2 linked regions of the Sus scrofa genome follow. The protein of the gene in region 1 interacts with the protein of each later gene in a biochemical or structural test. Links are inferred from orthologs where the notes say so. Each region holds a gene or a part of one and is shown in the gene's direction. Other genes may lie near its edges.

Evidence for each region.
Region 2: the proteins of HSPG2 (region 1) and FBLN2 form a complex in vitro, tested with the Homo sapiens proteins (2 studies listed by BioGRID). The link is inferred for Sus scrofa from reciprocal best matches to the Homo sapiens genes HSPG2 and FBLN2.

What each region holds. Positions count from the first base shown.
Region 1 is NC_010448.4:79,878,283-79,881,791, reverse strand, and holds part of HSPG2 (basement membrane-specific heparan sulfate proteoglycan core protein), read left to right. Parts: coding exon 1-57; intron 58-203; coding exon 204-356; intron 357-434; coding exon 435-577; intron 578-894; coding exon 895-1,030; intron 1,031-1,110; coding exon 1,111-1,268; intron 1,269-1,441; coding exon 1,442-1,586; intron 1,587-2,303; coding exon 2,304-2,473; intron 2,474-2,558; coding exon 2,559-2,706; intron 2,707-3,125; coding exon 3,126-3,271; intron 3,272-3,454; coding exon 3,455-3,509. UniProt on the Homo sapiens protein: Integral component of basement membranes. Component of the glomerular basement membrane (GBM), responsible for the fixed negative electrostatic membrane charge, and which provides a barrier which is both size- and charge-selective.
Region 2 is NC_010455.5:70,827,623-70,831,568, reverse strand, and holds the start of FBLN2 (fibulin-2), read left to right. Parts: upstream 1-1,138; 5' UTR 1,139-1,252; intron 1,253-3,946. UniProt on the Homo sapiens protein: Its binding to fibronectin and some other ligands is calcium dependent. May act as an adapter that mediates the interaction between FBN1 and ELN.

The sequences.
Region 1 (3,509 bases):
TGGCCGAGTTCCGCTGCAGCGCCACGGGGAACCCCACACCCACCCTCGAGTGGACAGGTGAGGCTGTGGCAAGAATGACAGTCAGGGCCTGGCTGTCCTGGATGTGGGGGACCAAGGGCAGGACTCTAGGATGTAGACTGCAACCTCCGGGGGGACTGGCAATGCCAATCCCAGTGGGTGCTAACCCTGCTTCTGCACGTCAGGGGGCCCCGGTGGCCAGCTCCCTCAGAAGGCCCAAATCCTTGGCGGCATCCTGCGCCTGCCAGCCGTCGAGCCCTCGGATCAAGCCCAGTATCTGTGCCATGCCCACAGCAGCGCCGGGCAGCATGTGGCCAGGGCTGTGCTCCACGTGCACGGTGAGAGGGCAGGGCTGAGGGTCGGGTGGGGAGCGCGCAGCAGCCCAGAGAGGTGTCCTTACAGGGATCTGTCTGCAGGGGGCAACGGGCCCAGGGTCCAGGTGAGTCCAGAGAGGACCCAGGTCCACGAGGGCCGCACTGTCAGGCTGTACTGCAGGGCTGCAGGTGTGCCCAGCGCCACCATCACCTGGAGGAAGGAAGGGGGCAGCCTCCCCCCACAGGTGAGGATGCCTGACCAGGCCGGGCCCATGGGCTCAGCGGAATCCCAGCACTTGCCACCAGCCCCGACCTCTTCTGCTTCCCTTCACTTCCAAGATGGGGGCCTATTCAGATGCCCTGTTCCCTGCATCCTGGCAGGTGGCTGCTGTCAGCCTCTTGCTTTGATGGCTGGTTCTGCCCTCCTTGGTGCCCAGCTGGGGCCCTGATCTTGGCTCTGAGCTGGCCTCTACTCTTTAGGCTCCCCCCTGCCTGCCCTCCCCACTGGCCCTTGCCAGCCTGCCTCGGCCCTCGGGCGGCTGACTCATTTGCTGTGTGGCAGGCCCGGTCTGAACGCACCGACATCGCCACACTGCTCATCCCAGCCATCACAACCGCCGACGCCGGCTTCTACCTCTGCGTGGCCACCAGCCCTGCGGGCACCGCCCAGGCCCGGATCCAAGTGGTGGTCCTTCCAGGTGCGGGGCCTTGGGGGCTGAGGAGTGGGAGGGCCGGCCAGGGCTTCTCTGAGGCCCACTCACGCTTCCTCTGGCCCCAGCTTCAGGTGCCAGCTCCCCGCCGCCAGTCAGGATTGAGTCCTCGTCGCCTTCTGTGACCGAAGGGCAGACCCTGGACCTCAACTGCGTGGTGACGGGGCTGGCCTACACCCAGGTCACGTGGTACAAGCGAGGGGGCAGCCTGCCTCCCCACGCCCAGGTACGAGGGTCCCTGAGCCCGGTCCTTCACGCAGCCCGGCCCTCTGCAGGGCCTGCCCTTCTTTCCTCCCTCTCCAGCTTCTGGCCTGGGCCGGCTCTGCGTGGAGCCAGGCCCGGAGGCTCAGCGGGAGTGGTAACCCCATTGTCACTTACCTCTATCCTCACCTGGCCCAGGTGCATGGCCCCCGGCTGCGGCTGTCCCACGTATCACCGGCTGATTCTGGAGAATATGTGTGCAGAGTGGAGAATGAGTCAGGCCCCAAGGAGGCCTCCATCATCGTCTCTGTCCTCCACAGCACCCATTCAGCCTACACGCCAGGTGAGGAGCCGCCGGGGCTGGCTGGGGGCCAAGCCCTCCGACCTCCCGTCTGTTCCCAAGGATAGCGCCTGTGGTCTCTTCGGTGACATCTGGACAAGAAGAGGCCCTCGAGGCAGGCTTTGACCCTCTACTCCCTGCAAGGGGAGATGCAGGGACTGACGATGGGGATAAGGTTGACCTGACTTTCCTGGGACCCCGTGGTGGGGGGACTGTTTGCAGAATTGGTCTGAAAGCAGCAGAGTCAGGGTTGAACCCTGAGTTGGGAGTCAGGCTGATCTGTGTTGAGATGCTGTCTCTACTCCTTATCAGCCTTGAACTGATTTTACCATTGAGGCCTTAGTTTCCTCGTGTGTGAAATGGAACAGCACCACGGCCCTGTGATGTGAGCACACAGCAGGCACTCTGAAAGAAGTTGTGGCACCATTGTCTTCATCCTTTGGCCCAAGCTGGGTGCTGTAGGACTCTATGTCCCTGCAAGCCAGAGCAGCTTGTCACAGACCCAGGAGTCCTGGGTGGGCGGATGGGCCTTGACCACCAAGGTGAAGGTTGAGGAGGGAAGGAGGGGTCTGGCTGGCCCTGCCCAGGCAGGAAAGTGTGGTCCCAGCCCCAGAAAGGCCTCTCGGCTGCCCTCCCAAGCTAGGGCCTGGTCCTATTCCAGGGCCCAGGTCAAGGCTTCTCCTGAGCCCCCAGCCTCTGACCAGCCCCTCTGTGCCCCAGCTCCTGGTGGAGCCCCAGCTCCAGGCAGTACCCACCCCATCCGCATCGAGTCTTCCTCATCTCACGTGGCCGAAGGGCAGACGCTGGATCTGAACTGTGTGGTGCCCGGACAGGCCCACGCCCAGGTCACGTGGCACAGGCGTGGGGGCAGCCTCCCTGCCCGGCACCAGGTACAGCAGACCCCCAGGGCCAGCCTGCTGGAGGGGTTGGTTAGGGCTGCCTCGGCCCCCTCCTAACCCTCCCTTTTGCACTCAGACCCATGGCTCGAGGCTGCGGCTGCACCAGGTGTCCCCAGCCGACTCAGGCGAGTACGTGTGCCGCGTAGTCCTTGGCTCTGGGCCCCTGGAGAGCTCCGTCCTGGTCACCATTGAGGCGTCTGACTCTGGCACTGGCTCCATCCCCAGTAAGTGACTGCTGGTGACCAGGTGAGCTGGAGGAGGCTGAGAGCCTTCCCAGGTGCTGAGGTCCTGGTGACTTCCTGTTGGTGACATGAGGAAGAGGGTGGCAGGAAGCCCACGCTGGGACTGGCCACAGGGCCTGGCCCGGACAGACGCCGCTTCTCTGATGCCATCTTCCCATCACTTCTCTGTGGCCACGTCTCTCGTGTTTCTGCTCCTGCCTCCTCTTCCTCCTTCCCAGCCTAATTTTCAATTACCCTCATCTCTCCCGCTTCCTCATGCCCTGGGCAAGCCTTGGCTCCCGCCCCAGCCGCCCCTCAGGGTTGCTCAGGACCCCAAGCCCAGGCCACTACAGCCACAAGGCTGAGCTGCCTTCTCTTCTGGGGGGCACCTACTACCCTCGCCCCTCTCCCGACTGCCCCAGGACCCATCCCGCCTGTCAGGATCGAGTCCTCATCCCCCACCGTGGCTGAAGGGCAGACGCTGGATCTGAACTGTGTGGTGGCAGGGCAGGCCCACGCCCAGGTCACGTGGTACAAACGCGGAGGCAGCCTCCCTGCCCGGCACCAGGTACACAGCGGCAGGAAGGTGGGAGGGGGCCAGCTGGCCGAGCTGTGGACAGTGGGTGGGGATGGGAGCAGCAGACAGCCCCTGAGCTAAGGGACCCAGTTCCCAGCTCAGAGGAACGGGGTAGGGGGCGCCTGCTGGACTCTGGGAAGCCCCCTTCTCACACTGCTGCCCCTGGCTGTCTAGGTCCGCGGCTCCCGGCTCTACATCTTCCAGGCCTCACCAGCGGATGCAGGCGAGT
Region 2 (3,946 bases), on another chromosome or scaffold:
AGTGGGCTGAGTGGCTAGGAGATAACAAGAGAGAAGCTGTGAATGCTTTAGATACTAGAATTGCACACTTTAAATGGTGAATTTTACTACATTAAAAAGAGAGACAGAAATAGAAGGGCAGAGTTCTGGGATCTCTTTGGGTTCCGACCGTCTTTGAAGTTAGTGGTGCGGAAGGGTGTAGGCTGTGGGGTCCCTGCGCCTGAGTCCAGGCCCGCTGGGCCCAGGGGGTTTCACCAGGGCTGCCCTGGTGCTGAATGTTTGCCCCAGTCTGGCAGTGCCAGACTTTGCTTGAGTGGGTTCTCGTCTGGGGTTTTGAGACCTTGACCAGGAGAAAGGACCTGGGAGGTCCTAAGGAAGTAAGCCTGCTCCCTGTGGGGCCTCTTACCAAGCACAGGCTCCATAGCTGCCAAACCCAGTGAGTGGGGACCCCTGGATGCCCCACCCTGACTTCACTGTGGGGGTCCCCCTCACAGTACTTAACATGTTGAGCTGATGACTTGGGAGTGTTCACCACCTGTTGGGCCCTGTGCTGTGGGCAGAGAATATGCGGTTCTCCATGGTTCTCCACCAACAGCTCAGGGTTATCCTTGCTCAAGAGATGAACAGACGAGGCTCAGAGAGGTCAAGGGCCTTGCTTAAGGTCTCACAGTGGCCACAAGCAGCTGCGTGGGCTGAGGAAAAGGACAGACCCAGGCTGAGGGCTGGGACGGGGTGCAAGCAGGCCAGAGCAAATGTGGAAGCCCCCAAGGCAGGCAGTGAGGCGAGCAGAGGTGGGCCAGGCCTGTCTCCGGCCAGTGTCACTTCCAAGCCCCTCAGCTCTCCCAAAGTGTCCCAGATGGCCGGGTCTATCTTCTCAGAAGGGACGCTGAGGCCCAGGCTGGCTGAACACCAAGCCAAAGCCCCCAAAGGGCGGCAGGGCCGGGTCTGAGACTGAGCGTTTAAACGGGGTGGCAAGGTGGGCGGCGAGGGGGCGCGGGGTTCGGGGCGCACGCGCGGCGCGGCGCGGCCACGTCCGGCCCCCGGTGCGCGGCTGGGCCCCCTCCCCTGCTGCAGCCGAGACCCCGCCCCGGAGGCGGAGGGGGGAGGGCGGCAGGGGGCCCGGCGCCCGCTCTGCCCGCCCCTCGGCCCGCCCTGCCCCGCCCCGCCCCGCCCCGCGACGCCGCCGGGCTCCGGAGCTCTCGACGCGCCGACGGCCAGGCGGGCAAACGGACGGGCAGACGCGCCGGCGGGCTGACGAGTGGAGCGCAGCGCGGTGAGTGCACACAGACCCCGGTCCGCCCCTGTGGGGTTGGCGCCCCGGCGGGGAGATGCGACACCTTGGCCGGCGCCTGGTGGGGTGCAGGGTCGCGGAGGGCCCCCTCCCGCCTGGGGCCCCATCACCCCTTCCCTTTGCCCCACTCCCACCCACCTCCACCAGGTCCCGAGCCCGGCCGCTGTCCCCGAGAGGGAAGACTGGGCCCTCGGTCGGCACCGCTGCCGTCGCGCTCCTCTCCTTTCCCAACCCGTCCCCGCGCTGCAGCTACAGAAGTTCCCCCGCAGGCAATGTGGGACGCGCCCCTGGTTTCACTGGTCCCTCACACGTCCCTTTCGCGCACACATGCTTAACACACACGTGCCCTGCACACGGGCGATTCCCAGACACGCGTGCCTGTATCAGACGGCTGTGTCTATTAAAAGCGTGTGCCTCCCTAATAGGCACGCATGTCTGCTACACACGTGTGTCTGTCACACACACCTCTCTCACATGTGTCACACACGTGTCTCTCACATGCCTGAGGTCACAGACACTCCCCCACACATCATGAATCTTGCACACAGGGTCACATGCCAGCCACTTGGTAGTGCATCTGGGCCCCCCCACCCTCCACAGGCACAGCCTTCAGTGGGTGCTGTCTTCTGACCAGTGGGGCCAGAGTCAGGCTAGGGGTAGCTTTTGGCTGAGGCTCTCTTATAATGGGGCCTGGGCAGCTATGGGGAGCACAGGGAGGGGGCTCAGGGGGCAGGAGTAGGCCTGACTCTGCCACCCTCCCCATCCCGAGGGTCCCCCCCCCCCCCGCAGTCTCCCAGCAGGGGTGCCCTCCCTCCCTCTGCTGTCCCAGGTCTAACCCCACACCTCAGTCTGTGACTGCCACTTGGGTCGTTCCAAAGCTGGTCTGAGCCAGCAGGTGTCACCGTGATGGGCCGGAAAAAGAAAGTAATCTGGGTGCTGGTTATTGCCCAGAGTCCCTGGAATCAGGGTGCTGGTCCAGGGCCCTCCCAGAGCAAACCTCCTGCCTGGGCCTGGCACATGTGTGCGGCCAAATGGTCAGGACTCTGAGCCTCACCTTCCCCACTTGCCAGTGGGAGTGAAATCCCCACCAGGAGGAAGGGAGGGCCCGGGAACTTTGGCCCCCTGGACTTCCCACCCTCCCCTCCTGCGTCCGGAGCTGTGCTGAGGGGGAGGGACAGGGCATGGATGAAGTCAAAGGCTCTGACTCCGGAGGCGCGAACCTGCCAGCCCCCATGTTTTGCTTGGCTCGTACCATATTATTATTATTTTTAAAAATTTAATTAGCTGCCAGCATTTACAAATTGGCAGGTTTCACATAAAAGTCCGGATTTCCGTCTTCTGAAAAATCACAAGGTCTGGAGGCTCAGGACCCTCATTCCCGCGGGGTGCCCTTGGCTAGTGCTGCTTGCCTGCTGCCTTTGGGGTGGGGCAGGAGACCGCTTCACATTCTTGGCTCCTGCCAGGCCGGCGTGCACCTCTGCTTGGCTGCTCTTGCTGTGTGACCCAGGCTTTTTCTGCAGCACTGCTTGCCCCAAAGTGGGCCTGAGTTAGTCCCCTCACCAATGGCTGGGGAAGCCTTGAGTGAGCCTGTACAGTTCAAGGCCTTAGTGTTGGGAGTGATGAGGGGCATATCCCATCTGCCTGGACTGTGGGGCATCCTTGTGATGGTGTCTGCTGGGCTGCAGAGGCCCCAAGGGAGCAAGGCAGTGATCTTGGAGCCGAGCCTTGTCCTTCTCCCCAGATCCCTATCCTTGATCCTGCAAGGTCACAGTCTTACCCCTTTCTGCAAGATGGGGAAACTGGGACCCAGAAAGCTCTTTCAGCAGGCAAAGGGCAGAATTGGGATTTCCATGCAGGTTTTTCTGACCCTAAAACCAAACTCTTTGCCCTCCCTTTAGCAAGTCCATGAGAGGAGGTATTTGGTCGCATTGGCCCAGGGGAATTCCCCGAACCAGGGTCACACCTGACATGCAGTAGGTGCTTGTGGAACAGCACAGGGAAGTGAAGCTACCTTCTGGCCTGGGGTCCACGTAAAGCTAAATCCAGGGCCGCTGGTGACCTAGACCACTGCGCTTCCTTCGGAACGGCCTGAAAGTCCAGCACACTTTCCTGCTCTGCTCTTGCTGTGACTGTGACCCCAGGATCACCAGGAGGAAGACCCTGGGTCCCTCAGGAGGATTGCCATGTGTCCTGTTGGGTGTCAGAGGCCTGTTTGCCCTGGACTTGGGGGCTGGGGTGGGAGCAGTCCCCTCGCCAACCCCCCCACCACCCCCACCGGCTGGCCCTGGTGGAGGGCTGCTCTTCCAGGAGGGTCGCAGCCAGAGGGATGGGTGGCTTCCTCCTCTCACTCACGCTCCTTGGTGGCCTCTCTCTGGGTGGTGTGGGTGTGGCGGTTGCTGCGTTATTTTAAGTCCTTGTTCCTGGGACCCTCGGCTCTGTTTACCACATGTAGGCAGCTGGATTCATGTGCCCTGAATGTCCCTGTGATGAGTGGTGTTGTGGAAGTTTGTTGATGACCAGATGAGGACCAGTTCTGTCAGTGGCACAGGGGACTTGGAGGTGGTGGGCAGCCCCTGGCCTCCCCTGGTACCTCCTGGAGGTTTTCATTCTTGCTGGGGAGGCAAGTGTTGGGCTGGCCCCGCAGGTGGTGCAGAGGGCCTTCCCCTCCCTTCTGTG